Linked DNA regions of Canis lupus familiaris. The protein of the gene in region 1 binds, or shares a complex with, the protein of each later gene. Links are inferred from orthologs where the notes say so. Each region holds a gene or a part of one and is shown in the gene's direction. Other genes may lie near its edges. The genes, in order: SNRNP40, LSM5, TXNL4A, RBMX2, SRRM2, CWC15 and CRNKL1.

Region 1 (3,655 bases):
TTCTACAGGTAGCTAATCTCAGTCATGCCAGTTTTGTTCTGAAGGCCAAATTTATCTCATATATAGAGAATGTGTAAATAAAGTTCCATAAGTACAATAATTACATATATCATTAGCTTTTTTATAAAAGGATATTCTTTAGGAGTGCCTGTGTGGCTCAGTCAGTTGACTGACTCCTCATCTCAGCTCAGGTCTTGATCTCGGGGTCATGAATCCAAACCCTGCATTGGGCTCCATGCTAGGTATGGAGCCTACTTAGAAAATGAATGAATGAATGAATGAATGAATGACCGACCTTCATATTTCTTTGAGAAGATCCCTTATTCTAGTTTTGTATAATTTGGTGAATAGTTCCTACTTATCCTATATGTTGTGTTTTTCTCTTTTCCTTTTTTTTTTTTAAGTTTGTTTATTTTTTATAATCTCTATACCCAATGTGAGGCTTGAACTCATGACCCCTAAGTCAAGAGTCATATGCTTCTCCAACAGCACCAGCCATGGGCCTTGACACTATATGTTTTATAAGTTTACATCATAGCCTTGTAGTCTTTATCTTTTTAAACTAAAAAGTCTGATTTATCTATAAACATTCCAATATTTTTCTGCCAGTGCTTTGTTTTCAGGAAATATTTTTTTATCAGAGTGTACACAGTAGGGTGCCTGTGTGGCTCAGTCAGTTGAGCGTCTGCCTTCGGCTCAGGTGGTCCTGGGATCAAGCCCCACATCAGGCCTCCCTGCTCAGCGGCAAATCATCTTCGCCCTCTCTCTCTGCCCCTCCCCCACACTCATGCTTGCACTCTGTCTCTAAATAAATAAATAAAATCTTAAAAAGAAAAAAGTAAACAAGACTCCAAAAACTTGGGAAAACTTTCTACTCTATACTGTTTCTAGCATGAAAACAGAGTCGATGCCCACTAACCAGATGCCCAAACATTCACTGAACAACTGATTTGGGCATTTGCAAAACATCTTGCTTAAATTAGTTCTTTCTGTAACAAATCCCAGATACACATTGGCTGTACACCAATAGTGTGTGCAGGCCTCAAGAAGGAAGGTTTGAAAATGGTGTCCAAGTGCTACAAGGGATGGCACATTATATTCTCCTAAAAAGCTAAAGACTTCAACAATGCCTTCTCTGAAGAGGAAGAACAATAGCTTGAACAGAAAACGTCAGCCATTTCAAGCTTTCCTGATTATTGAGGCAGCAAACATCCTGACACAAAAATGATTGTTGGGTTCCACACATGAGTGAGTTATTGATGGGGAAAGTGGAGTTGTCTAGCTTATGTATCAACATCAAACTCATTTCTAGGTAAGAGAAGTGCCTTACTTAAGTAGGGAGCAAAAACATTTATTTAATTTCACTTAGAAAAACTACATAGCAATATTAAATCAGATTTGGAGGAAATTCTATATTATACCAATGACCTTAGCAAAATTGCTATTCTTTTTCCATATGACATTCCAGACTATTTATATTACCTTTATATTTTTTATATACTTTCCGTCTATGTAAATATAAATACTGTTTTGTATCTTCCTATTAGCTTAATAACTTATTATTGGAACATTTTTGTATTTGGTCTTCAGAGTTATTTTTAGGAGTTGCTTAATAATAGCTACCAATTATTGAGGGCCTGCTGTGTACCAGGCATCTGCTAAGCCTTCTATTTGTAACCTTCTCAACAGCCATAGGAAGTAAATGTTGTTATCCCCATCTTACAGACCTGAAACAGGCTTAGAGGAGGGTTAGTGGCCCAATAACACATAAGTCTTACAATTTACCCTTTCCACTCTACTATCTCTAGCATAAGGTCATACAGTGTTGCAGTGTGTTTATGGGCCATAACTTAATGAACCATTTATTTTCCCTGTTTGACATTAGGTTATTTCTAGCCACATTTTCTAATGAAAATTTTTAAGCAACTATATTTCTGTGTATTGCCTTGTTCTATACATGTGTGTTTCATCATAATGCCCTTTTCAAATGATGTGTTCACGTATTTTTCTGTAATTCTAAAAGTTAAGTCTTAATTGCTAAGATGCATAGTTTTTTTTTTTAACTTTTTTTTTTTTTTTTTTAAGATTTTATTTATTTATTCATGAGAGACACAGAGAGAGGCAGAGAGAGAAGCAGGCTCCATGCAGGAGCCTGATGCGGGACTCAATCCCGGGACTCTAGGATCATGCCCTGGACCAAAGGCAGGTGCTAAACCGCTGAGCCACCCAGGGATCCCTAAGATGCATAGTTTAAGCTTTTTTTTTTTTTTTTTTTAAGATTTTATTTATTGGAGAGCAGCCTGGGTGGCTCAGTGGTTTAGCACCACCTTTGGCCCAGGTCATGATCCTGGAGAGCCCGGATCAAGTCCCACATTGGGCCCCCTGCATGGAGCCCTGCTTCTCCCTCTGCCTGTGTCTCTGCCTCTCTCTCTCTCTCTCTCTGTCTCTCATGAATAAATAAATAAAATCTTAAAAAAAAAAAAAAGATTTTATTTATTGGGGATCCCTGGGTGGCTCAGCAGTTTAGTGCCTGCCTTTGGCCCAGGGCATAATCCTGGAGTCCCAGGATCAAGTCTTACATGGGGTTCCCTGCGAGGAGCCTGCTTCTCCCTCTGCCTGTGTCTCTGACTCTCTCTCTCTCTCTGTCTCTCATGAATAAAAAAATAAATCTTTAAAGATTTTAGTTTTTAAAGTTTTAATACATTTATAATTTGAAAAGAACTCCTGTAAATTCTTAATTTTTGTTAAACTTTATTATAATATTTGACATTAGTTTATAGCCCTTTAGTCAGACATAGTCACTTTGACTCCCTTTTCAGAAAAACAAGAGGGGTACCTGGGGGTTCAGCTGGTTAAGCATCCGACTCTTGATTTCGGCTCAGACCATGAGCGCAGGGTCATGAGATTGAGCCCCATGTCAGGTTCCCTGCTGGGTATGGAGGTTGCTTAAGGTTCTCTTTTTCCCTCTCCCCCTCCTCCCACCCCCCTCTCATGTTTGCTCTCTCTCTAAAAAAAAAAAAAATTGCAAAAGATAAGAGGTTTTTTTTTTTTCTCTCTTGGCCCATAGCCAGATTGAGAAGGGATGCCAGTTTCTCAAGGCAGTTGACTAGTAACTATATTTTTTTTTTTTTTTTGCTATTCTCAATTTGATTTCTGGGAGTACCTCTTTTTTTTATTTTTATTTTTTTGTAGGTCTGGGACTTGCGCCAAAACAAGCTAACCTACACCATGAGAGGCCATGCAGATTCAGTGACTGGCCTGAGTTTAAGTTCTGAAGGCTCTTATCTCTTGTCCAATGCAATGGACAATACAGGTAACTTTGGAAAGGAAAGCTCTTAAAGGGCCCAGTCACTATAGACTACAAGGAAAGTGGGCATTGGGTTTAGAAATGTATACTGGGATAATGTGGATCAAAGGAAAGAGTCAAGGGTGGTTTGCAGGTTTCTACAAGGGCAATTAGGAGAACACATGGTAATAGAAAAAGCTTTAGAAGATATGGTCAAAAAGCCACGATTCCTGTCCCAGATCTGCCATCTAATCCCTAAGCAACTTTGCACATAGCTTTTAAGACCTGTTTCAGCTCTGGTATGCTGTTGAGCCATGCAGTGTACTAAACTCTTGATAATTATTAGTTTGTTGAGATCCATCCAAAGCA
Region 2 (4,155 bases), on another chromosome or scaffold:
GGCAGAAGACATTGTAGTTCTGTTTTGTACAGTTTTATACTCAGCAAAATGCCAAATAGTGTGTAGCTAATGCATATTTGTTCCATGAATGAATGATGTGTGTATTACAACTATCTGTTGTATGAATGAATGATGTTTTTTTCTGCTCTCTCCTGTTTAGACTCGTCAGCCTTACGTTCCTGGGATACAAATATGAAACAGACTTAAGGCAGAGAATTTGTTTGCTTTCTATTCTTTGCAAAACAGAAGTGCAAAAAGCCTGGGATCCCTGGGTGGCGCAGCGGTTTGGCGCCTGCCTTTGGCCCAGGGCGTGATCCTGGATACCCGGGATCGAATCCCACGTCGGGCTCCCGGTGCATGGAGCCTGCTTCTCCCTCTGCCTGTGTCTCTGCTTCTCTCTCTCTCTCTGTGACTGTCATAAATAAATAAAAATTTAAAAAAACAAAACAAAACAAAAAAAAAACAAAAAGCCTTAAGGTTTCCTGTGTGATGACATTAGCGGACAGTGACATCTGGTGGCTGCTTATAAGACAAGACAGTTAAGTGTTGAAAGTGGATACAGTCTGTGATAAATTGGACTCCTAGCTACAACAAGGTAAGAATGATAAGGTAGTAGGCATAAAAATAAAATGTGTTTTAAATTTCCACTGTAGAAGGTTTTTTTTCTTTTTAAATGCTGGTTGTGGGTTTTCAATTCACTGGACTTTAAAAAGAAGCACTAGATTCTTTTTTCTCTCTTCTTTAAATAGGCTCCGCACCCAACGTGGAGCCCAACCAGCGGATCCTGAGATCAAGACCTGAGCTGAGATCTAGTCTGAGGCTTAACCCACTGAGGCACATGGGCGCTCTAGGAGTAGATGCTTTGAAAAACGGCTTTTACAAAAACTGCAACACAGTGCATTAGTGGCAAAAAAAAAAAAAAAAAAAAAAATTTTTGGTTCGGTCTGAAAAAAGATCCTGGCTTGAGATGAGGTGCAACTTCATAGCAGAAAATAAGACGATTCAAAGATTTCCGTATTTTGCAAAACCTTCCGGGTTGCAGGAAGGATTTATTCACAAAGCAGGATCCCTTTAGCGTCTGTCTGTCGGAAACTGCCCGGGGAAAGCCGCTACGTGCCCAGACCGCACCACCTGCAGCGGACGGAACCTTCTCCCCGAGAGCTCAGCGCCCGGGAAAGAAGCGATTGGGAAGGAGCGACTCCTGCGGACTGATTGGATCGCAAGTTCGGCCTCCGATTGGTCGAGCCTGTCCGGGCCGCGGGCCGGCGGGGGGAGCGGAAGCGCGCTCTTTCAAACTTGCCGGGCTGACGGCGAGGCCGGCGGGCCACTTCCGGCGTAGCCATGGCGGCCAACGCTACCACTAACCCGTCGCAGCTGCTGCCTCTAGGTAATCGCGGAGAAGGGGACCGGAGGGCTCAGGCTAAGTGTTGGGGCCCGGGCGGCTGCGGCTGAAGTAGCCCTTGGTCGAGTGTTAGGGAAATGTGGGGATGAAGGGCCTCAGTGCTCCGCGGCTCGTCTGCCGGCTCCCGAGTGTCTGCGGCCCCGGGCCGCCCGGGAGCCTCTCTGCACTAGGCACGAGGGCTGGGCGCTCTTGGACAAATTCAGACGCCTCCCACTGCCTGCGGATAGCACACACACCAGGAGGAGATAGAGCGCTCCACCTGTAAGCATCACGCCGAGTGATAACGAAGCCAGCTAACGAGGCGTTCAAACTGCGGTCCGAACACAGAGATAGTGACAGGAAGAAATCTCTGGTGGATACGGTTGTGCCTCTTCCGATATTTTGTAGCCAAAGAGTTGATGGAGTTATCGGAAGTGGCCTTGTTTTGGAAGTTTTCATTCTTTGATTCCACCAACTCTTTTTGAACGCTTGCTATGTGCCAGACATTGCCCACTGAGGATAGAGTCCTGGGAAAACAACCACAGTTGTTTCATGGGGCTTAGACTCTTAAAAAAAAACATCAAACAAACATTTTTATTCATTCATGAGAGACACCCAGAGAGGTGGAGAAGCAGCCTCCATGCAGGGAGCCCGATGCAGGACTCGATCCTAGGACCCCAGGATCACGCCCTGGGCTGCAGGCAGGCGCTAAACCGCTGAACCACCTGGGCTGCAGGGGGTGGGGGGGGCTCAGATGTTAATTATATATTAATTATGCATTTCGTATGTTAATCAAAATCACTTAAAATAACATTAAACCACAACCGTGATGGATAAACTTCAACAAAGGAGAGGTAAGTGGTAAACAGGACGTTTTTGTTTATGCAACAGAGATAACGTACCGTAAAATCTCTAAAGTTTTTGAATGAATACTTTCTCTGGTTTATCTTTCACAGTAAGTAACTAACAAGTGCCAGTAGGCATTCCAATATTTGTTGAAGAAATGAACAGGTAAAATAATCTTTTTTTCTCCACCCCCCCACCCCTCTTTTTTTTTCTTTAAAAAAAAAAAATATATATATATATATATAGAGCTCGTGGACAAATGTATAGGATCAAGAATTCACATTGTGATGAAGAGTGATAAAGAAATTGTTGGCACACTTTTGGGATTTGATGACTTTGTCAGTATCCTTTCAAAAGGTGGTGGTGGTATGGGTTTTCCTGCAGTACTTAAGAACAGAAATAAGAATATGGACAGTCAGTACGTAACTGGTTATTGTATTAGAAATTTATTCACCTCTTGATAGCGTTTTAAGAGGTGTGTGTACTGAAAAAAGATAAAGTTCCTACCGATTACTAGTATTTTGCTCTGGAGCCATTGTATTAAACGTTGTAATTAAAATGGAGTAAAGATAGAAGCCAGAGTAAATTCAACCTGGTATATGTATTTTTCTTAACACCAAATTTCAGATATGGTACTGGAGGATGTCACTGAGTTGTGAGTAGTGTTAAAAATTAAAGAATTGGGGGGAATCTCTCCTTAAGTCAATTTTAGTATTAATGAGTTTAAAATGATTAATGAGAAAACATTGCCTGTCAGAAATACCTTAAAGATAGAAATTTTATCTACTGACACTGGTAAAATTGGATCAGTTATTACCGGATGTAATTATTATGTTATTATTAATGACTGGTAGGGACTTAGTGGAGACTGAGCTTTGAGATAAAAGATACTAAAAACAGCCAAGGATGTTTGTGCTCAGACAAATCAAGGCATTAAACTTAAGATATAAATGATAGCTCCATTATATTAGTTTTAAAGATCACAACCAGTGTCTGCTTTCAAAATTGAGTTGATTACAGATTGGTTTAATGGGTAAGGGATTAGTAGTAAATAATAGTAAAAAGGTGAGGCTAGTAAACATTCCATTTCATATTTGATCTCTTTGGCCAGTTTTAGCTTCTTTTAGTTTTGATCCTAGTGGATGTGGATCTGAGGCCAGTCAGTTCACTGTGTTGCCTTTGGTCATCCAGTGGATAACCTTTGTCTCTGAAAACTACTGACATAATTGCTCAACCTCATATTCATATAATATAAGAATAACTTTTTTAGGGATCAGAATGTTGGCTTTGATTATCATTGTTTATCTTGACTCTTTTATTTCTTCATTTAGTGAAATCACACCAGAAGGAAGAAGGATCACTAAATTAGATCAAATTTTGCTAAATGGAAATAATATAACAATGGTAAGGTACAGTAAAGCTGGGCGTTTTTTTAGATGTAGCCCATTTTTGTGAGGCAGAGATTACAGATTACTTGGCTTGGTTAAATAAATGTTCATGGCCCAGTGGGTTTAAGTTGGGAATGAGATGCTCCTGTGATCAGGGCTCTAAAGCTGAGCTACTGAACATGACAATAGGCTTAAAGATTAGTTTGCTTGGGCTTTTTAATCTTTTGGTTTGCCAAGAATCATTGTTTAGACTCTAAGTATTAATTGACGATGTTGGGATTATAAACAGAAGCAATGACCTGGAGAAAATGGGAATGTGGGGGAGGAGCAAAGAGGCCAGGTATCTTTGATGGGTGAAAAGGGGTTTTTAGATGATGGGTGTGGTGGTGGTATTAATAAGCTCTTTTTCCTTCTCTGCAGCTAGTTCCTGGAGGAGAAGGTCCTGAAGTATGAATGGATTTCCTTACTCTCTTTTGTCCTATAATGACAACAAAATCGATTTTTTTTTAAGCCTTTTAATGTTTGGATTCTGTAAAGCTA
Region 3 (4,418 bases), on another chromosome or scaffold:
TCCGCCTTCCGCCTTTTGGCTAAGCTCAGGTCGCGGTCTCTGGGTCCGGGGTTTGGAGTCCCCGCAGGGCCTGCTCGGTGGGAAGCCGGCTTCCCCTGCCCCGCCTCCCCGCCCCACCCCTCCGCCGCTCCCCTACCCTACGACTTGGGGGCATGCACGTGCTCTCTTGAATAAATACAATAAAGCTGCAGCCATTCTTGAAAACAGTTCGTATTCCATAAAATGTTAAACACGGTTATCGCGTGACCCCGGCTTTCCACTCATATACTCTTAGGGAAGCGAAAACCTAAGTCCACACAAACACAAATCCAGATGTTCACAGCAGCATATGCACGACGGCCAGAAAGTGGAAACAGCCAAATGTCAGACGATGGATAAATGAAATGCACACACTGGGTGACGGGCCCTGAGGGGGCACCTGACGGGACGGGCACGGGGTGTTATTCTAGATGTCGACAAATTGAACACCAACAAAAAATAAATGTATAAAAAATAAAAATAAAAAAATGCACACATGCGTATGATGAAGTGGTAACCAGCACCGAGGACCGAATCCTGACGCCCGCGGACAGCGCGGCCTGGAGAAGGCAGTCCCGGGCGATGTCCCGGTCGGTCTCCGCTCGCACGAACTGCCCGGGGCAGGCGGGGGCAGGGAGGCGGGCGGGAGTCCGCGGTCGCCGGGGCTCAGGGACCGCGGGGAGTGGGGACGACCAGCCGACCGCGCTCGGGCCTCCCCCCAGCAGGACGGGAGCTGCCCCAACGGAGACCGCAGTGGCGCTTCTACGACCCCCCGGGGCTGCAGCGCGAGGACCCCACAGGACGTGGGGGATCCTCCGTCAGCTTCTTGACAAAAAGGACGCGCCCGGAGGCGGACGGGGCGACGGGCGACAAGGGCCGTGCGTGTTTCACACGGTGACCCACACCTTAGCTGGTCTTCTGCTGACGCGGCGACCGCACAGCGGGGCCTAGTCTGCCCTGACCGCCCCGGGGACGGCTGTGCGGTGAGCAGGACGGGCCTTCCCCAGCCCGTCACGTCACGGTCCTCGGCCTGTCCCGTGTGCCGGCCCCGTCCCCCGGCTCCCAGCGCTGCTCCCCGCCGGGACCCGAACCGCACCTCGCAGCTCCGCTCGGCCGGCTGCCCTCGTCACACCCCCAGGGCACGGGGGCGCCGCGGAGAAGCTGGGTCGCTCCGAGGGGCCTGACTGGGGCTGAGAATCAGGCGGCAAAGCCGGGCCCCCCGTGACCGCGGCGACACCTCAGGAGACCGACCCCGCGGGGTCCGGGGGCCACCGGCCGCACCGCCCGGGCGCACACGGGAGCCCCGGCTCGGTGTCCCTCCCTCCCGGCGCCGGGCGCGCGCGGCCCCTCGTCGGCGGCCACGCGCACGCGCACGCGCACGCGCACGCTCACGCTTACGTCGGGCGGCCACGCGCACGCGCACGCGCACGCTCACGCTTACGTCGGGCGGCCACGCGCACGCTCACGCTCACGCTCGCGTCGGCGGCCACGCGCACGCTCACGCTCGCGTCGGCGGCCACGCGCACGCACCGACCGGCTCGCGTCCCCGCCGGGAAGGGCTGCCGCGCGGGAGGCTGCGGTCGGCTGAGGTGCGGGCGGACGGAGCGGGGAGCGGGGGCGAGGGAGGCAGGGGCTGGCGTCTGCGGGGCGTCCTCGCGGCCCCGTTCTCCTTCCAGGGGTAGAGCTTGACAGGGGCCGGGGCCGGGGCCGGGGGCCGGGGGCAAGGTCTGCGGGGGTCCCAGGCCCTCCCCGCGGCGGGACCGAGGGGCACGGATGGGGGCGACCCCGGGGCCTCCGCACCGGGGACTGGGTCTGCAGGGCGTCCCCTCAGTGCCGTCCCTCTTCCAGGGGTCGGGGGGGTGAGGTCTGCTGTGGGACCCAGGGGCGCGGGCGGGTGCGACGTGCAGCCCTTGCCCGCAGTCGGCCGCAAGGAGCCGGTGCGCACAGTTCCCGCAGGTGTGCCCGCAGGTGTACCCGGAGCCGCCCCGAGATGTCGTACATGCTCCCACACCTGCACAACGGCTGGCAGGTGGATCAGGCCATCCTGTCGGAGGAGGACCGCGTGGTCGTCATCCGCTTTGGACACGACTGGGACCCCACGTGTATGAAGATGGACGAGGTGCTGTACAGCATCGCGGAGAAGGTAACACAGCCCCCCGCCCAGCGTCAGCCTAGGAAGCTGTGGTCTTTGGTTTGCCCCGTTTGCTAGGTGGCTGCAGGGTTGGAGTGAGGTGACCGCGTGCAGGTCCTCCTCTTCCTCCAGGCTGCAGAGGCGCAGCAGGGTCCAAGGGCCTGACCCCCGCGTGGAGGCTCCAGGCCTCAGAGGGTAGGGTGCGGCGGGCTCAGGGGGCCTGACCCTGTGCCCCGAGGCTACGGTCCTTCCGTGGGAGCAGTGTGTCCCTGGTCTCCAGGTTTTGAAGGGGTTCATGGTGCCACCTCCACGGAGCTGGGAGCAGCACACCTAGGGACTTCGTGGAACGCCATTTTAGCCAGGTAGCTGCACAGGATTGCCAGTTTTTGGTGCTTTGCTCCCTGTGTGTGGGAGGCAGTCGTGCCTGTCAGGGGAAGGAAAGCCTGTTCTCCATCCCGGTCTTTGTGCCCTAAGTGCACTCCTAGCTCAGACGTGCTCTGGGAGACTTGCCTGGTTGGACCCAGTCTGGGTCACCATGCTGGCACCCTGGCTTGTCGGAGGCTCTGTTGGCAGTTCCAGAACCAGCAGCACCTGGTGCTCTCCTGTGGGCTCTGTGGGCTCATTTCAGGAGAACTTTCATTTGGATGTGTAGTTGTAGCCAATTCATAGATTACTTACTGATATTCCGTAAATAAGGAGAGGTCAAGAGTAATGGAAACATTAAAGCCATGATTTCTTTCAGAGGAAGAAGGGCTTAAGATAGCTCAGTACATGGTAACAGGTGTAGGGACAGATGTGTCTGGGAAAGGCGAAGTCTCGGGGGTCAGAGCAGGACCCCACATTGAGGTTAGTTCACTAACAACTATCTGACCTTCCACTGCTACTTTTTCTGATCTCCTGTGTGGCGGGAGAAGCCAAGCGAGGCCGGGTGGTAGCACTGGGAACCGTGGAACTGTGGAGGCCGTCTTTCCGGTCAGTCACGTGAGGATCGCTTGGAAGACTTGCTCAGGTGCACCTCCGAGGTTCTCGTTCTGCAGGTCTGGGGTGAGGTCCACACACAGCTCTGCCCAAAAGCTGCCCTGGGAATTCTGAAGTGGCTTCCAAAAACCACTTGGCAGAGTTCGGGATCAGAGTAAGGGTGCTGGGAGACTGGCCGTTCCCTTTCTCTTCTTGGGGAGCCTGAGGAGGTGCCTGGGGAGCTCGGGAGAGCTGCGGCGCCAGTTTGTCGCGTCAAAAGCAGACACTGCTGTGGTCAGTGAAGAACCACCTCCAAGCACTTTCCTGAGAAACACCATTGCTGCTCTGTTGACCTTGAAATAACGTAGGGTGTGTGTTCTGAATTGTGCGGGGCATGTGGGGGCATAAACACCAGGTGGTGACCAGCTCCTGCTGCCCTCGGTGCAGGGTCAGGATGGTTAGAGACGGGAGGCTCCTTTGGCTCTTCATACCCAGGCAAAACCCAGCAAGACGCTCTTCTTTGGGAGACAGATTTTGTGTTAACCTGAGCTCTTAGGGACTTTCAGCAAGTTGTTTGTTCTTTTCCCATCCCTGTGTGTCAGCTGTAGGCTGGACTGCGGGATCACTGAGGAACGCACTCTGGGATCGAACCTACTGATAAGAACAGTTTAGTTGGGCTCACTTTGAGTATTTGTCTTTGTTTTATCTTTAAGGTACTTTTTCTTTGGTCCAAAAATTTGGATTTCTGTTTTAATAAACTTTTAATATTATATAGTACAGTTATTAGAAATGCAAACTTGAAACTCATCACAAGATAATTGTTTTATTTTCTTCTGTGTAAAGGCAAAACATGAGTTTATAATTCTGGAAGTCCTTCTTGAGCTCAACAGGAATTTTTGAAATTTAAAGTTTTAGTATAAAGAACAACTTAACTATCTAAAAATCTCCCTCTGCAGAAATGGCAGATAGTGGGGGATCTTCCTCATCCTGTCTCGAGCCCTGTTTGGATACCCCAGCTGTTTTAAAGTGAGTAAAAGTTCCACCGTTTAGGCTGGACTTGATTAGATTGTTTCTCCGGGAATGTGGTGTGTTGACTTGATGCTTTGATGGTGCCAACCATCATGAGGCCACCACCTCATGCTGTATTAGTTTTGAGCTGCCCTGAAAACATGGGAGGTAAGCTTAATGATTTTACAGATGTCTGGAGCTTGGTAGAGTGGTAATAACAAAGTTTCCTATTTAAAATCTGATTTTATGCACAGCCTCAGGGAGAGGCTGTGTACCTCTGAGCTGTCTTACCATTTTGCAGGAA
Region 4 (4,169 bases), on another chromosome or scaffold:
TTGCCTGAAGAATCCAGCCAGATAATGTTGCATGCTAGTTTACCACTTTGCAGTGGCTACTTCAACCCTACATCTAAGCAACCTCAGATTCCCAGGAGCAGATAAAACCTGTATGCAATCTGTCACTGTTTAGTTTTCATTGCCAAGATAATTCCATAAAGTTAATGAATAGCTGAGCTGGATGGGGTGGGGGCACAAACACAGAATGAATGAAGGGAAACTTTGATTGGTGGAGAGTCTCCTGCTTTTGTCAGGATGTGGGTACATGATGGGTCATTGAGGGTACAGTTGTCATAATCCCATCATCAAAGTACTTTTATGAAATGCTTAATTTCTGGGGCTCTAAGCTGGGCCTACACAGAGAACTACCCAGCTCTGGAACTTCACTTTTAGACCAGGCATGGTCTGATACCAGTTATTGACATGGACACATATGAGATGGATTCAAAACTTCAATATGGCTTATATCACACTGAAGGTATGCCACCATACCTTCTATGGGTTCCTCATTATTTCTGGAGTGAAATCTACCAAGCAAATATATTTTGTCTCCTTAATGATATCATTAGCTCCAGAGGGCAGAGGACTTCACCTTACATTCCTGTCTACAGATTTTACTGTACAAGACAAATATAGATCCTCAGTAAGGACTGAGTAAGTCAACAAGACCTGATAGGTAGAGGCAGAGGACATCCTTTGAGTTAACTAATTCCTTCGAATCTCAGTTTCTTCCTCGGTACAAGGAAGGTAATTGTATGTATAGACTCCATGGGGTTAGTTATGAGGAGGGAGGGCCAGTACAAGTGAATTGCTTAGCACACAACGTAGCATATGCTTAACTATTAGCTTTCTCATTATTTATTTCTGCCTCCTGCTTAAGTAGGAGCGAGACTATGGGAAAAGGGTGAGCTCTTAGACAAATCTGGGTATTCGATCAGACTGGTTAGTTGCCTATGCATTTGGATTTAAGGGAGAAAAAAATGATTTCCCCTCTCACATACCTTCTTCACTTTTCTGCTGCAATTTCTGATCAGGGATGGTTTGAGGGGTGTGTGTGCGTGAGCGACTGGCTGGGAGTGGAAGCCCGAAAGGGGATTTTCACTGAGGATAGAGCCAGGGACTACAGTTGCTAGAGCAGCACCTTTTTCAATCTCAATTCAGTAAACATTTATAGCTAGCCCAATCAATGCCAGGCGTCCTCCAGCAGCTGAGGGTCCTGTAATAAACCCGCTTCACACCCATGCCGCGTTTCACAGACGGACTAAGCGAGAAGCTAGATAGAGTCCCTGATAGAGCGAAACACGCAGAGCGAGCCAAGGGCCTCTCCGCGCTACTACGCAAGCGCAGCTCCCCAGCGCGCCCGTCTTTCCGGCGTGGCGCAGCGCGAACTCCGCGGAGTCCAATGGGCGCACGGCATCGGCGCTGCGCACGCGCGACACAGACTCACCCGGAAGTTAACGTCTCCGTGCTGAGCGCGAACCTGAGGAGATGAAGTAAGGCCTCAGTTTACCTCTTAAGAAGTAGGGACCGGCCGCGGGAAGTTGCCCACCGGGGCTGGGGTGGTAGAGAGCCTGCGGGGCCGAGGGGTGGGAGAGGCGCGGAGACTGGAGAACTAGCCCTCTAGTTCTGCTCTCCCTTACCTCTGGCCAGGCCGCACTTAACGGCCGCTTTTCCGCCTCTCTCTGCAGCCCTTTAACTAAAGTGAAGCTGATCAACGAGCTGAATGAGCGTGAGGTCCAGCTTGGGGTGGCAGATAAGGTGTCCTGGCACTCTGAGTACAAGGACAGCGCCTGGATCTTCCTGGGTGAGAGTCACATCTTTCTGCACTGCTCATTCTCTCCTGGTGCGCTTCCTAACCTTTCAGCATTCCCGCCTTTCCTTCCTTCTGACGTTCATCACGCACTTAGATTTCTTTCTTCTGGCTGCCCCGTAAATCCGTTTTCTGTATCTCTTTTCTCTTCCATTTCTAGTTTGCTCCTCCTGCCAAGTCAGTGACCATAATAGTTACCTTTGCCGTTCACTGTGGTCCTTGCCACTTGGTTTCAGAGACTGTTATCATACCGCGCCCCCCTGTTACATAGCTGAGGAGGTTAATGGACTTCCTTAAAGTCACATGGGTAATAAGTGGAACAACCAGAACTATGGGATTCTAGAACTGATGATCTTAACCACCATCTTGTATTACTGCTAGCGCCCCCCCCCCCGCCCTTTCTCCTTCCCTCAGAATTCATTTTCCTCATTTACTTAACTTCTGCCTTCTGTCCGTGGCCATATTGTCATCTCTGTATTCACTTGTGTCGCATCCAATAATATGAAAGTTTGGGCAAAGAAGTTATTGCACCAGATATTGTGCTAAGCACTTTATGTCCATTGTTTTATTTAATTCTTACAACAGTTCTGTGAAATAAGTACTAATATCCCCATTTTACAGATGAGGAACGAAAGATTTGCAGGGGAATTTATTTCCTATGAAATGCTGAACAGTTGTCTATAGACAACCAAAGATTCCTTAGTCTATGTGAGGTGGGGTAATATTTTCATATTTAAACTGATTTTGCTGTAATCTTAGCTGTGAGTTTGTGAGTTCCGGGCACCTGGGTGGATCAGTGGTTGAGCGTCTGCCTTTGGCTCAGGTTGTGATTTTGGAGTCCTGGTATTGAGTCCTGCATCAGGCTCCCATTTCTCCCTCAGCCTATGTCTCTGCCTCGCTTTCTGTGTCTCTCATGAATAAATAAATAAAATCTTAAAAAAAAGAGCAGGTGAGTTCAAGATATGTTTGTGGAAACAGAGTTTTATGCTGCAAACTGTCTGCTTTGCAAGGTTTTGGGTGTGGGGAGTATTTGGTTAGTGATGACACTGACCTTTCCACAAAGTTAATCACTCCTTTTGCTGCACTAGTGCCGCACCTTATATATGATTCTGTTAAATCGTCAGACTGTGAGTTCTTTGAGGGCAGGCCCTGTGGCTTACTCTTCTTTGCACCCACATTGCTGGGCCTAGTGCATGGTATGGAGGAGATGCTTGGTAAATGTTTGTGGAACTGAAATGTGGTTTTCTCTCCTAGGAGGGCTTCCTTATGAACTGACTGAAGGGGACATTATCTGTGTGTTCTCACAGTAAGTCCTTTTTCATTTCCTGCCTTCTGGGTCATCAAATTATGCTTGCTTAATACATTTTGTGGCCTCACAAAGTCTATTTGTTTTATTCTAGTCTGACTGGGCTCCCTGCATGGGGAGGGCTGGAGCTTCTGCTCTAGTCTAGATCAGCCCCAGGACATGGTTATAGAGCTCCCAATATGGAAAATCCAAGAAGTTAGATGATTTAGGAGGCTGTCTTGGGGATTCTGGTCTATTTTTATTGCTTTTTAAGTGAGGCTTGTTCAGCCTGTGCCTACACCAGAATAGACTTACTCACAGGAAACTACCATGTTGGACTCCTTGGGCTCCTGCAAACCCAAGGGTAATCCATGATCACAGGGCCCTTCTGGCCTACACCTGTGTGGTGTTGTGGGATTAGGGCAAAGCACAGAGGAATGGGAGAAAAAGCAAAAAGTTTAGGCAGTTTTCTTGTTTCTAGATGGGTATAAGATTAGTAAGCAGAACCGGTCTCTTTACCCAGAAGCTGAGAATTATGGGCTGATGAGGAACAAGGATGAATAGGTGAACCTTATATTCTTCATTCTGCCCATAGATGAAAGCAGCAGCATTGGGTGGGAGAGCATCTTGCACTGGTGGTGGCGGCTGGTGGGAGAGGGGCTGGGCACAACCCAGAGCTACACAGAGTGGTTAGACAGTCCATGGGGCCTTAGGGACCCTGAGGGCAGAGGACTGTGGCAGAAGGATTTGGGGAAGTAAACACTGCCAGCACACTGTGGCGGAGACATTGCCATGTCAGGGGATGGTGGGGCCGTCCAATAGGAAGAGGACCGTGGCTGAGTGGTGGAGCAGCTTATGGAGGAGAGGGCCATGGAAAAGAAATTGGGCAGTACCCATGAGAGGGCCATGAGAGAGGGCTTCGGCAGCCCACTCTGGCTTAGCGCCCAAGAGAGACAGAGGCTGCTTTCTCTGACTTCTGGGCAGCTGGAAGTTTACAGCAGGTGCAGCCTGTAGTTTCCACCCCTTATGATACCTCTGTCTGGTCCAGCCTTCATAGGGGCTGTTTTTGTCTTA
Region 5 (3,655 bases), on another chromosome or scaffold:
TACAAAGCAGCCTAGCAGTCCTCATGAAAAAGATAAAGAGAAGGAGGTATGTTTCTGAGTTAATGGATGTTTATTGGGTTGCAGGGTTAGGATGGATGTTTAAAGAGAAGGAAAGAAGTGAATTTGGTTCTTTTTGATCAAGTTCTCTTTTGTATTTACAAATTCTTCAGAATTCTGGTTTTCAGACTGCTGGCTATTGATAGGTTTTATGTCATTGTCCTTTAATGTGTTTATATACAGTCTGGGTAAAAGTTTATTTTTTCTAAATTATGTTTAGCTTTACTATCTGTGATATCTAGGCTTTTTTATTTCCTTAAATGCTCGTTTCCAACCCACTGGGTTGCTGCCTGCAATTTGAACACGCTACTATACCTGTGCTTTAAGTATGTGTCGTTTTATGGGTATTCTGATTGAGCCTTATTCACAATGTTTTCTTACTTCATAAATTCCATAAATAGTTTTTTGCTAAATTCTTAGCTCTTTGTTCTTTTTTTCACGTCATCAAGTTTTCTAACTACAGGATGGATCACTTCAAAAACTTAATGTTTTTTTTTATATTTAAAGCTCTTATAACTATACCAACTGTAGTCTTATTTACATAAGTCATGTCCTCGAACCTTTGCCTTTGTTTTTTATTTCAGTATTCTTTTTCAAGGGTGAAGTTAGATGCCTCCCACTTTAAGGGAAATTGCTTTGCTTCTCAATTTAATAAAAGTGCCTTTTTTTTATGTTGCCATGGCACTTTGTTACGGTTGTTAGAAAATGTCATATGTTAGTTTACATTGTGTTTTTTCTAGATAATAAGACTTTTAAAGTGATAGCCTGTCCATATTTTCATGTTTTCCCCACTGTCTTTTTATACGGTCTTTCGTTAATGAATGACTGCCTGTGGTGAGAAAAGGACCAGTTGGTGTGATGGGGTGTGTGAGAGGAAAATTTCATTGGAAAGGGTGTTTGGGGTCTTTTAGGTAATAGGAAGTTCTGGTGCTTATGTTCCTATCCATACTTTCTTTTCCACTCTTAGAAATCTGGAATTCGACCTAGCCCCTCTCCGGAAAGGAGCAGCACAGGCCCAGAACCACCTGCTCCCACTCCGCTCCTTGCTGAGCAACATGGCGGCTCCCCACAACCCCTTGCAACAGCCACCTTAAGTCAGGAGCCAGTGAACCCCCCATCTGAGGGTTCCCCAACCAGGGGCCGTTCACTACCTAAGTCTCCTGAGAAACCTCCCCAGTCTTCTTCAGAGAGCTGCCCACCATCCCCTCAACCTACCAAAGTTTCTCGACATGCCAGCTCTTCCCCTGAAAGTCCTAAACCTGCACCGGCTCCTGGGTCCCGCCGAGAGATTTCTTCTTCTCCCGCATCCAAGAGTCGCTCACATGGCCGGGGAAAGCGGGATAAGTCACATTCTCATACCCCTTCTCGAAGAGTGGGGAGGTCCCGTAGCCCTACTGCTACCAAGAGGGGGCGATCTCGGTCTCGAACCCCTACCAAAAGGGGTCATTCTCGGTCCCGGTCCCCTCAGTGGCGTAGGTCCCGGTCTGCACAGAGGTGGGGACGTTCCAGAAGTCCCCAGCGACGTGGCCGCTCTAGGTCTCCTCAGAGACCAGGCTGGTCTAGAAGCAGAAATACCCAGAGAAGAGGCAGGTCTAGATCAGCAAGGCGAGGCAGGTCACACTCTAGATCCCCAGCCACTAGGGGCAGATCACGTTCTAGAACACCAGCCCGTCGGGCCAGGTCTCGCTCTAGAACACCTGCCAGGCGGAGGTCACGATCCAGGACACCTGCCAGACGTAGGTCACGCTCTAGAACACCAGCCCGGCGGGGCAGGTCTCGCTCTAGAACACCTGCTAGGCGCAGATCTAGGACCCGGTCGCCAGTACGACGGAGGTCTCGTAGCAGATCACCAGCCAGGAGAAGTGGCAGGTCACGCTCTAGAACCCCAGCCAGACGGGGTCGGTCACGCTCTAGAACCCCAGCCAGAAGAGGGAGATCTCGGTCTAGAACACCTGCAAGACGAGGACGATCTCGGTCTAGGACACCAGCAAGACGAGGACGATCTCGGTCTAGGACACCTGCAAGACGAAGATCTCGTAGTAGAAGTGTAGTTAGACGAGGAAGATCTCACTCTAGAACACCACAAAGAAGAGGCAGATCTGGTTCATCATCAGAACGGAAGAACAAATCCAGGACGTCACAGAGAAGGAGCAGGTCCAACTCAAGCCCAGAAATGAAAAAGTCTCGCATTTCTTCAAGGCGGAGTAGGTCTCTTTCTTCACCACGGTCCAAAGCAAAATCTCGCTTGTCTTTGAGGCGAAGCCTTTCAGGATCATCTCCATGTCCTAAACAAAAGTCTAGGACACCACCAAGGCGCAGTCGCTCTGGATCATCCCAACCAAAAGCTAAGTCCAGAACACCACCGAGGCGAAGTCGGTCTGGTTCTTCACCTCCTTCTAATCAGAAATCTAAGACACCATCAAGACAGAGTTGTTCCAGTTCATCTCCTCAACCTAAAGTGAAGTCTGGAACACCACCAAGGCAAGGGTCTGTAACAAGTCCCCAGGCAAATGAACAATCTGCAACACCACAAATACAGAGCCGTTCAGAATCATCACCTGACCCTGAGCTGAAATCTGCAACCCCTTCAAGACATAGCTGCTCCGGGTCCTCTCCTCCTAGAGTAAAATCTAGCACACCTCCGAGACGGAGCCGATCTGGGTCATCCTCTCCACAACCCAAAGTCAAGGCAATAACATCACCAGTCCAAAGCCATTCTGGCTCTTCTTCTCCTAGTCCTAGTAGGGTGACATCTAAAACACCGCCAAGGCAAAGCAGATCAGAGTCTCCTTGCTCCAAGATGGAATCTAGATTGTTGCAAAGACAGAGCCGTTCTAGGTCCTCCTCACCAGATACCAAAGTGAAACCTGGAACACCACCAAGACAAAGTCACTCAGGGTCTACTTCGCCATGCCCTAAAGTAAAGCCCCAAACTCCATCAGGGCACAGTCTTAGTGAATCAAAATCACCATGTTCCCAAGAGAAGTCTAAAGACTCACCAGCACAAAGTTCAGGATTCTTCTCTCTCTGTCCAGGAATAAAGTCTAGCACACCACCAGGAGAGCTGTATTTTGCAGCCTCCTCTTTGCAACAGAAAGGACAATCTCAAACTTCACCAGATCCTAGATCTGATACTTCAAGCCCAGAAATGAAACAGAGTCATTCTGAGTCTCCATCTCTGCAGAGCAAATCTCAGACACCTCTTATGGGTGGCCGGTCCAGGTCCTCCTCTCCAATCACTGAGCTGGCACCCAAATCTCCAGCAAGACCAGAAAGAAGGGAATTGTCAAGTCCTAGGCTAAAATCTGGACTGTCTCCTGAGCAAAGCAAGTCCCAATCTGACTCTTCCCCATATCCTGCAATGGACTCTAAATCTTTTCTGGGGCAGAGTAGATTGGAGCCTTCTGAATTGAAAGAGAAATCAGTCTTACTCCTTCAGGAGGATTTTACTGCATCGTCTCCCATACCAAGAGACAAATTGAGTCCTCTTCCAGTGCAGGATAAGCCTGATTCCTCACCAGTACTCAGAGAAACACCTAAAACCCCGTCAAGGGAAAGAGGTGGTGTTGGATCATCTCCAGATACGAAAGACCAAAGT
Region 6 (3,655 bases), on another chromosome or scaffold:
TAGTAACAATAAGAGATGAAAAGGTGAGCAAGAGCAGGTCAGAAAAGTAGAGGTTCATTAGCCAATGCTAAAGGGGTTTGGACTTTGTCTTATTCTTTTTTCTTTTTTTTTTTAAGATATTTATTTATTCATGAGAGAGGCAGAGACATAGGTAGAGGGAGAAGCAGGCTCCCTGCAGGAAGCCTGATACAAGACTCGATCCCAGGACCCCAAGATCACGACCTGAGTGGAAGGTAGACAGCCCCTGAGCCACCGAGGTGCCCCTGGACTCTGTCTTGAAGGCCATGAAGAGCTAGTTGATTTTAGCAGGAGACAAGATTTGATATGCATTTTATTTTTTTATTATGAAATATTTCAGTAACATAGAAAAATATAAATAATAAATTTAATAGTCATCTACTTGGCTATGCATTTTAGAAGGATAACCCTGGCAGAAGTATAGAGGATTGGGAAAACTGATTGAGGAAGCTGTTCCAATAATCCTCATATGCAATTAAGATAATTTTGCATAATAGAATTGGAATTGAGAGAAGTAAATAGATGCTGAGAGAGTTGTCAAGGAGGTAAAATTGACCAGATAAAGTGACTGGTTAGCTATGGCAACAAAGATGACCCTCAGTTCCTGGGTAGATGTTGTTGACATTAACTAATACAGGGGATGGCAGAAGGATGCACATGTTTAGGTGGAGAGAAAAGAGATGATGAGCTCTGGAACGTGTTGAATTTGACACATTATGAGATACTTAGATGGAGATGTCTGTCTCCACTTTCAAACAGAACAGCTCAGCTTTTTTTTTATGAGCTTCTGTGTAAATTTTCATTTGAACCAAGAATTACTCTGTTTAAAGAGGGGGGAAAGACTGACATGGGTTCATGTGAGGAATCCAGAGAAGTAGAAGATTGCTGGAATTCAAATTGGAAGAATATTTTATTTATTTATTTTTCAAAGAATTTATTTGTCCATTCATGAGAGAAACAGAGAGAGAGGCAGAAACACAGGCAGAGGGAGAAGCAGGCTCCACGCAGAGAGCCCGATGCGGGACTCCATCCTAGGTCTCCAGGATCACACCCTGGGCTGACCCGGCGCCAAACCGCTGAGCCACCCAGGCTGCCCAAGAAGAATATTTTAAATACAATTTCCATCAAAGTTTGGCATTGGATAGCGTGATTCCCATAATAGCTTATAATTGTCATATTTAATTTTTAAAAATCAAAGAATTATAAGAACTTTCCTGATAGTAGATATTACTTGCCCACCACTAGAGGGCAGTTGTATTCCATATTCTTTTGACTTGCCTAACAGCTCTGGATACATAGAGACAAGAAATATAGGTGCATTTGGTTGACCCTTAAAAAGGATAAATATTTTAGACAGAAGGTCTTGGAATTTTGTAAGATTCCTCTACTCTCTTTGTACAAAAATATATTGGTGTTCCTAGGGGTTGAAGGACAGTTTTACTTTGGTTTCTGTTTCCCTGGCTGGTTTTCTAGCGGCTGATTTTTGAAGTGTCCCAATATAACATTTTCAAACCAATTAGCCTGTGTCAGGGGCTAGGAAGCTTTCTGTAAAGGGGGCCAGATGGTAAATATTTCAGGATATTTCTAGCTTGCAGACCATGCAATCTCTAGTGTGGTTCTTTAGTTCTGCTCACTGAAGTGTGGAAGCAACTATAGACAATGCAGAAATGAATGAGTTTACTGTGTTCCACTAAAATTTTGTTAACAACAATGGGGTGGTTTGGATTTCATCTGCAAGCTGATTATAGCCTGTGTTTGTGAACCATAATGTTTCTGGGACTTGAATATGGAAAGAGTTGGCACCTTTTTTTCCCAGTGGTTTATGTGGCAGCCAGCCAGGACTCTAAAGGAAGTAATATTCCAAATATAAAATGGCCAGAACTTTATTATATCACATACATTATTATAAGATGGATACGTTGTATGTTTGAGCTCTTATTTTTTTAGAATCTCAGAGAAATGTCTTTTCACTTTCAATATCAATATAATTTGCAAAAAAATACATTGTTTTTAGAAAGCTATCTGTTCTTAATCTGTGATGGAACACATGTGCCTGATTTTGTTTGCTTAAGGTCTGAGTAGTGACCTAAAGGAATTTACCTGTTTATTTCCCTGATTATTGCATCTTCTCACTTTCCAGTCATTTGGCCTCTTAAAAATGAAATCTGTTGTTCACATTTGGATATTAAAATGAAACATCATTAACCTGTATGGAAAATTTTGAACTTTCTTAGGCTTTGTTTTTTTTCTTTAAGATTTACTTATTTGAGAGAGTGTGTGTGTGAGCAGGGGATGGAGAGAATCCCAAGCAGATTTCCCTCTGAGGGTGGGGCCTGATGCAGGGCTAGATTTCACTGCCCTGAGATCATGACCTGAGCTGAAATCAAGAGTCAGATGCTTAACCAACTTAGCTACCCAGATGCCCCTGTTAGGTTCGTTTTAAATTGGAAGTCCCTGGGGATGCATGGGTGGCTCAGTCAGGTAAGTATCTACCTTCAACTCCAGTCATGAGGCTAGAGTCCTGGGATCAAGCCCCATGTCAGGCTCCTGGCTCAGCGAGAAGCCTGCTTCTCCCTCTCCCTGCTGCTTTGCACACATGCTCTCTCTCTCAAATAAATAAAATCTTTAAAAAAAAATAAATTGAAGGTCTCTTTTTCCTTGATCTATTAAGTCATCAGTTTTCCCCTTCCTAAAATACAATAAAGTGGGATTTATTTTTGGTTTAAGAGAGCATGAACAGGTAGATCTAGCAGTTGCTATGGCTAAGAATTGTAGGCATTTTATGTTTCTAATTCTAAGAATGAAACTGAGGCTGATTTGAGTTTAAAGAAATTAATGCTAAATTAAAAGTAAAGAAAGACAAGCTCATAACTGATGAAGGATGAGAGGTATGAAAATGGAAAGTTAGTAACAAATCATAAGAACAAAATGGATAAACGTGGGGTAGATTAGTAGAAATGCATGTTAACTGAATATAATATTTTACATGATAGTTTTAGCTACTTATGGGCTAATAATAACTTATCACTAGTCCTGGAAGTGCAAATTTACACTGTTAATAATTCAAAATAAAATTATTTTTAATCATAGTTCTATATAGCCCATCTTTAAAAATCAAAGTAATAGCTTTGCTAAATGTGTTTCTTTGATGTTTAACATACCCTTAAATGACTAGAATGTATTATTGATGGACTCTTAAAATAAGCAATTAATTTTGGATGTACTTCAAGAAAGAAAACATTTAAATAGGCATTCATAGAATTTCAGAGTCAGACTAATGAATGTAGACAAGCATGAACTATTTATTATAAGGCCAAATTATTTTGGTAAGTGAAACTTTTCTGGTATTTCTTATATCTTAAAAAACAAAACAATAAACAACCTACCTTGATGCTTATTCCTTCTCCATCATAAAATCCTAACAATCTTTTAAAATTTGAGTTATGAAAGAAGATTGACCCCAGAATTAATGTAAGTAAATGAGTCCTCCTCTGTCATTGACAGGAACAAGAACAGAAAGCTGAAGAAGAAAGAATACGTATGGAAAACATTTTGAGTGGAAACCCTCTCCTTAATCTCACTGGTCCATCCCAGCCACAGGCCAACTTCAAAGTTAAAAGAAGGTACTTTACACAAC
Region 7 (3,450 bases), on another chromosome or scaffold:
GCAGATGAAGGTTGAGACTGCACATCTCCAGATTGTCCTGGCACAGTTTTTCCCAGATCGGGCCAGCAAAAGAAGCTCTGTCTAAACCACCATATTGCTGAAATTAAATTGCCGAGGTCCTGACCTATCCTAGGAGCTAAAATCATCCCTTCCCTATTTAAACTTGAGCCACAAGGTGGCGCCAAACCACGGAGAGGCTGGATTTGAGAGCCACTGAACTCACCCAGCCTTTTTTGTTAGTCCTGCCCCAGTGTGAGTTCATTTTGTGGCTTGGGCTGCATAGGCCAGGGCTTTGTGTATTATTGGTTCCGTCGGCTGGCCTCCACTGCTAGGCGTCCAGGCCATGTTTTACTTCATCCTTTTTCTCTGACAAGCAGTACCCAGCAAGTAGGCTGGGTACTCAGACATGAAGGAATTTACAGTGGAGGTAAGAAGAATATATCCTGGCTAATCTAGGCATGTCTTCTGGCAATGTCAAGTTGTATGTGATAGGATCATGGCAGTGTCTAGGAGACTTGGCAGTCTCTGAGCTTTTCTTGGGAAGTCTAGCATTTGAAAAACTCTGAAAGAAAATCCAAAAATGAATCCTGAATCCAAAGCCTTTTATCTCATAATGTAGAATGGTAACCACATTTTGGCCAGCTTGTAAACACCACTGGTTTTATTGTGTCCAGATGCTGCCTGTTCCTTAACTGTTCATAGAAGTTCCTAGGTTCTAGGTGTTCTAGGTTGGAATGGTAGTTAAGCTCAGCTTTGGATAGGGACGTGTTGCTCTTTAAATGTCAAGGCTGATTTATTAAGTTTTCTTTTGTAGGTGCTTTGGAAATCATACATTGATTTTGAAATTGAGCAGGAAGAAACGGAGAGAACACGAAATCTTTACCGAAGATTGCTTCAGCGGACACAGCATGTCAAGGTACCCTGCACTCTGTAGATTATCTCTGATTTTGGTTGAATCAGCAGTCCTGAAGGAAATAACATATTTTTGTATTTTAAGTGTTTCAAGTTTGGTTTGTAATGATTTTCTTGCATTTAGAAAGAGCCTCTGAGTCTCAGAGGACTTTGTGATATAAAGCTTATAGCAGGTCAGTATTTATACTGCATGGGAATAACTTGAATATCATAGGATTGAGTAAAAAGCTAAACTCTTTTCAGGATTTTACGACTATTTCAAACACCTAATTGGTTAGAGAAGCAGACTGATTTCAACATTATTGAAGCATATAATCAATATGTTCTTTGGAATACTATAGATAAACATGTTAGTATGTTCAGATGTCATTAACTAGAATTAGCATTACTACATGACCATTTTCTGGGTGACATGTTAATTTGCTTCTGTAATAATTTTTCTAAAGGTATGGATCAGCTTTGCACAGTTTGAGCTATCATCAAGGAAAGAAGGAAGTTTGGCTAAATGCAGACAGATTTATGAAGAGGCTAACAAAACCATGAGGAACTGTGAAGAAAAGGAAGAGAGACTTATGTTGCTGGAATCATGGCGAAGCTTTGAAGATGAATTTGGAACAGTATCAGATAAAGAAAGAGTAGACAAACTCATGCCAGAGAAAGTCAAAAAGAGAAGAAAGGTCCAGGCTGATGATGGGGTAAGAACTGAGCCTCTGGTGCTGGTCATCTCATGTCAGATGAGCAGAAATGCATCTGACTTTGAAATTTGTACTTTTAAGTGTCATATATGAATCTGAACATGGGAGCAGATAGCCTGGAGTAGGAGATGGTTGCAGTCTGTCTACCGTGGAAACACAGAGCAGAGTATATAGATCACCCAGGGGTGGAGAATGGGAGACAGGTGGCAAAGGTTTCTGGGAGATGGTTGATTCTGGGAGCTATATGAAGCATGATGTTTCTGGAGCATTAAACAGGAGGTCAGAGTGAAGGGAAATGAAACTTAGCTTTTAGGTAGGATCCAAGCCACAGACTTTGTAAGCTATAGGAAGGCCCTTATGCACAAAATAACATGACCCAGTGGTTGGCATCTCCTGCAAGCATACCCAAGGGGCTCAGAGTTGAGGAGGACCTATCGGGGAGGCTATTGTAAGCAAAGCAAGTGATGGTGGAAGCTGGAGCTAGGGTAGTCTTTAGAAAGCCAAATAAGTGACCAATTGGAGGTGGGGCTGTAAGGGCAAGGAGTCAGAATAATAGTGCACAGATTTATGACTTTGGTTACTGAGTATTAAATAAGTCTTTAAAAACTTAAAATCTTAGAAAACTAGATGAAGGTGGACATGGAACATGGGATATCTTGGTTGATGAAAGAGGAGGAGCTGTGCTTTGTGTTTTAGGATCTTTTTCCACTGGTTTTTAGCTCTCAGTGAGCTCCACTTGTAGCAACCCCAACCCCAACAGCTACTGTTTGGGTTTTAATTCAATTAACATCTAGTATATAATTAGTTTCAGAGGTAGAATTTAGTGTTTCATCAGTCTTCTGTAATACCGAGTGCTCATCACATCCCCTGCCCTCCTTAATGTCCATCACCCAACAGCTACTTGTTTAGCCCAATCTTGCAAGCCAGCCCTGGTTCTTCTGAGATGGGCTTTGGTGTGGTTTCGTAAAATGAAAGTAAGTTAAATTTGAAGAACTCTGTGGGTTTCGCGGTGAAAATTCTGCACTTTAACTGCAGTGTATTTCAGTCACGTGTTAGCTTATCTTTTCATTGTTTTTTTTTTTTCCCATAGTCTGATGCAGGCTGGGAAGAGTACTATGATTACATCTTTCCAGAAGATGCTGCCAACCAGCCCAACCTCAAGCTCCTGGCCATGGCCAAACTTTGGAAGAAACAACAACAGGAAAAGGAGGCTGCCGAGCAAGACCCAGATAAGGACATTGATGAGACTGAATCCTGATTTTCTTGTTCATATTGATAAATGTTTTATTATTTTTATAAATTAATCATTTGGAACTCTTGTGACTCTAAGTTTTTTTACACCTCACCAGTAACGAATTGATTGGAGTCTTTGATAGCTACTTTTTGAATTATTTTTAAAATGCTCTTGGGGTAAGTGAGGGGTTGGGGGATTGCAAGTAAATTTTTCTAACTGCTGGATTTATCTGAGTCTAAACATTTTTCTTGGTCCACATCACACATTAGGAAATCTAATTGAGGTAATGCTTTCAGCTATTTTAGATGGACCTACAGACTTTTGAAAGTGGTTTTCTAGCGATGTTCAAGTTACATTCTACAGTAACTTTTAAGGTGGTTTTATCATGCTTTTCTTCATAATGATATATAGAGCACACTCACCTGAGACCTCCAACTTTTCTGAATCTTCAGTCACACAGACTTGAGTTTCATTCCCAGCTCTGCCATTTAGTGATCTATAACTTAACCTTTTAGTTTCTTCACTTACAAAATGGCCTTCTGTCAGTTTGAAGATTACATTAGAAATGGAATAGACCTGGCACATTGTGAGGGCTCAATAAAATGTTCA

Evidence for each region.
Region 2: SNRNP40 (region 1) and LSM5 share a complex: the UniProt entries of both Homo sapiens proteins name them as parts of the U4/U6-U5 tri-snRNP complex. The link is inferred for Canis lupus familiaris from reciprocal best matches to the Homo sapiens genes SNRNP40 and LSM5.
Region 3: SNRNP40 (region 1) and TXNL4A share a complex: the UniProt entries of both Homo sapiens proteins name them as parts of the U4/U6-U5 tri-snRNP complex. The link is inferred for Canis lupus familiaris from reciprocal best matches to the Homo sapiens genes SNRNP40 and TXNL4A.
Region 4: SNRNP40 (region 1) and RBMX2 share a complex: the UniProt entries of both Homo sapiens proteins name them as parts of the minor spliceosome. The link is inferred for Canis lupus familiaris from reciprocal best matches to the Homo sapiens genes SNRNP40 and RBMX2.
Region 5: SNRNP40 (region 1) and SRRM2 share a complex: the UniProt entries of both Homo sapiens proteins name them as parts of the minor spliceosome. The link is inferred for Canis lupus familiaris from reciprocal best matches to the Homo sapiens genes SNRNP40 and SRRM2.
Region 6: SNRNP40 (region 1) and CWC15 share a complex: the UniProt entries of both Homo sapiens proteins name them as parts of the minor spliceosome. The link is inferred for Canis lupus familiaris from reciprocal best matches to the Homo sapiens genes SNRNP40 and CWC15.
Region 7: SNRNP40 (region 1) and CRNKL1 share a complex: the UniProt entries of both Homo sapiens proteins name them as parts of the minor spliceosome. The link is inferred for Canis lupus familiaris from reciprocal best matches to the Homo sapiens genes SNRNP40 and CRNKL1.

The regions. Positions count from the first base shown.
Region 1 is NC_049223.1:69,144,965-69,148,619, forward strand, and holds part of SNRNP40 (U5 small nuclear ribonucleoprotein 40 kDa protein), read left to right. Parts: intron 1-3,192; coding exon 3,193-3,313; intron 3,314-3,655. UniProt on the Homo sapiens protein: Required for pre-mRNA splicing as component of the activated spliceosome. Component of the U5 small nuclear ribonucleoprotein (snRNP) complex and the U4/U6-U5 tri-snRNP complex, building blocks of the spliceosome.
Region 2 is NC_049235.1:44,955,579-44,959,733, reverse strand, and holds the start of LSM5 (U6 snRNA-associated Sm-like protein LSm5), read left to right. Parts: upstream 1-1,229; 5' UTR 1,230-1,341; coding exon 1,342-1,387; intron 1,388-2,473; coding exon 2,474-2,569; intron 2,570-2,854; coding exon 2,855-2,882; intron 2,883-3,558; coding exon 3,559-3,631; intron 3,632-4,035; coding exon 4,036-4,068; 3' UTR 4,069-4,155. UniProt on the Homo sapiens protein: Plays a role in pre-mRNA splicing as component of the U4/U6-U5 tri-snRNP complex that is involved in spliceosome assembly, and as component of the precatalytic spliceosome (spliceosome B complex).
Region 3 is NC_049222.1:688,221-692,638, forward strand, and holds the start of TXNL4A (thioredoxin-like protein 4A), read left to right. Parts: upstream 1-1,495; 5' UTR 1,496-1,607; intron 1,608-1,965; exon of another isoform or gene 1,966-1,974; 5' UTR 1,975-2,008; coding exon 2,009-2,161; intron 2,162-4,062; exon of another isoform or gene 4,063-4,132; intron 4,133-4,418. UniProt on the Homo sapiens protein: Plays a role in pre-mRNA splicing as component of the U5 snRNP and U4/U6-U5 tri-snRNP complexes that are involved in spliceosome assembly, and as component of the precatalytic spliceosome (spliceosome B complex).
Region 4 is NC_049260.1:102,430,579-102,434,747, forward strand, and holds the start of RBMX2 (RNA-binding motif protein, X-linked 2), read left to right. Parts: upstream 1-1,359; 5' UTR 1,360-1,488; coding exon 1,489-1,493; intron 1,494-1,688; coding exon 1,689-1,804; intron 1,805-3,064; coding exon 3,065-3,116; intron 3,117-4,169. UniProt on the Homo sapiens protein: Involved in pre-mRNA splicing as component of the activated spliceosome. As a component of the minor spliceosome, involved in the splicing of U12-type introns in pre-mRNAs.
Region 5 is NC_049227.1:38,744,275-38,747,929, forward strand, and holds part of SRRM2 (serine/arginine repetitive matrix protein 2), read left to right. Parts: coding exon 1-46; intron 47-1,024; coding exon 1,025-3,655. UniProt on the Homo sapiens protein: Required for pre-mRNA splicing as component of the spliceosome. As a component of the minor spliceosome, involved in the splicing of U12-type introns in pre-mRNAs.
Region 6 is NC_049242.1:6,122,817-6,126,471, forward strand, and holds part of CWC15 (spliceosome-associated protein CWC15 homolog), read left to right. Parts: intron 1-3,522; coding exon 3,523-3,641; intron 3,642-3,655. UniProt on the Homo sapiens protein: Involved in pre-mRNA splicing as component of the spliceosome. Component of the PRP19-CDC5L complex that forms an integral part of the spliceosome and is required for activating pre-mRNA splicing.
Region 7 is NC_049245.1:3,692,961-3,696,410, forward strand, and holds the end of CRNKL1 (crooked neck-like protein 1), read left to right. Parts: intron 1-814; coding exon 815-916; intron 917-1,358; coding exon 1,359-1,607; intron 1,608-2,697; coding exon 2,698-2,865; 3' UTR 2,866-2,923; downstream 2,924-3,450. UniProt on the Homo sapiens protein: Involved in pre-mRNA splicing process. As a component of the minor spliceosome, involved in the splicing of U12-type introns in pre-mRNAs.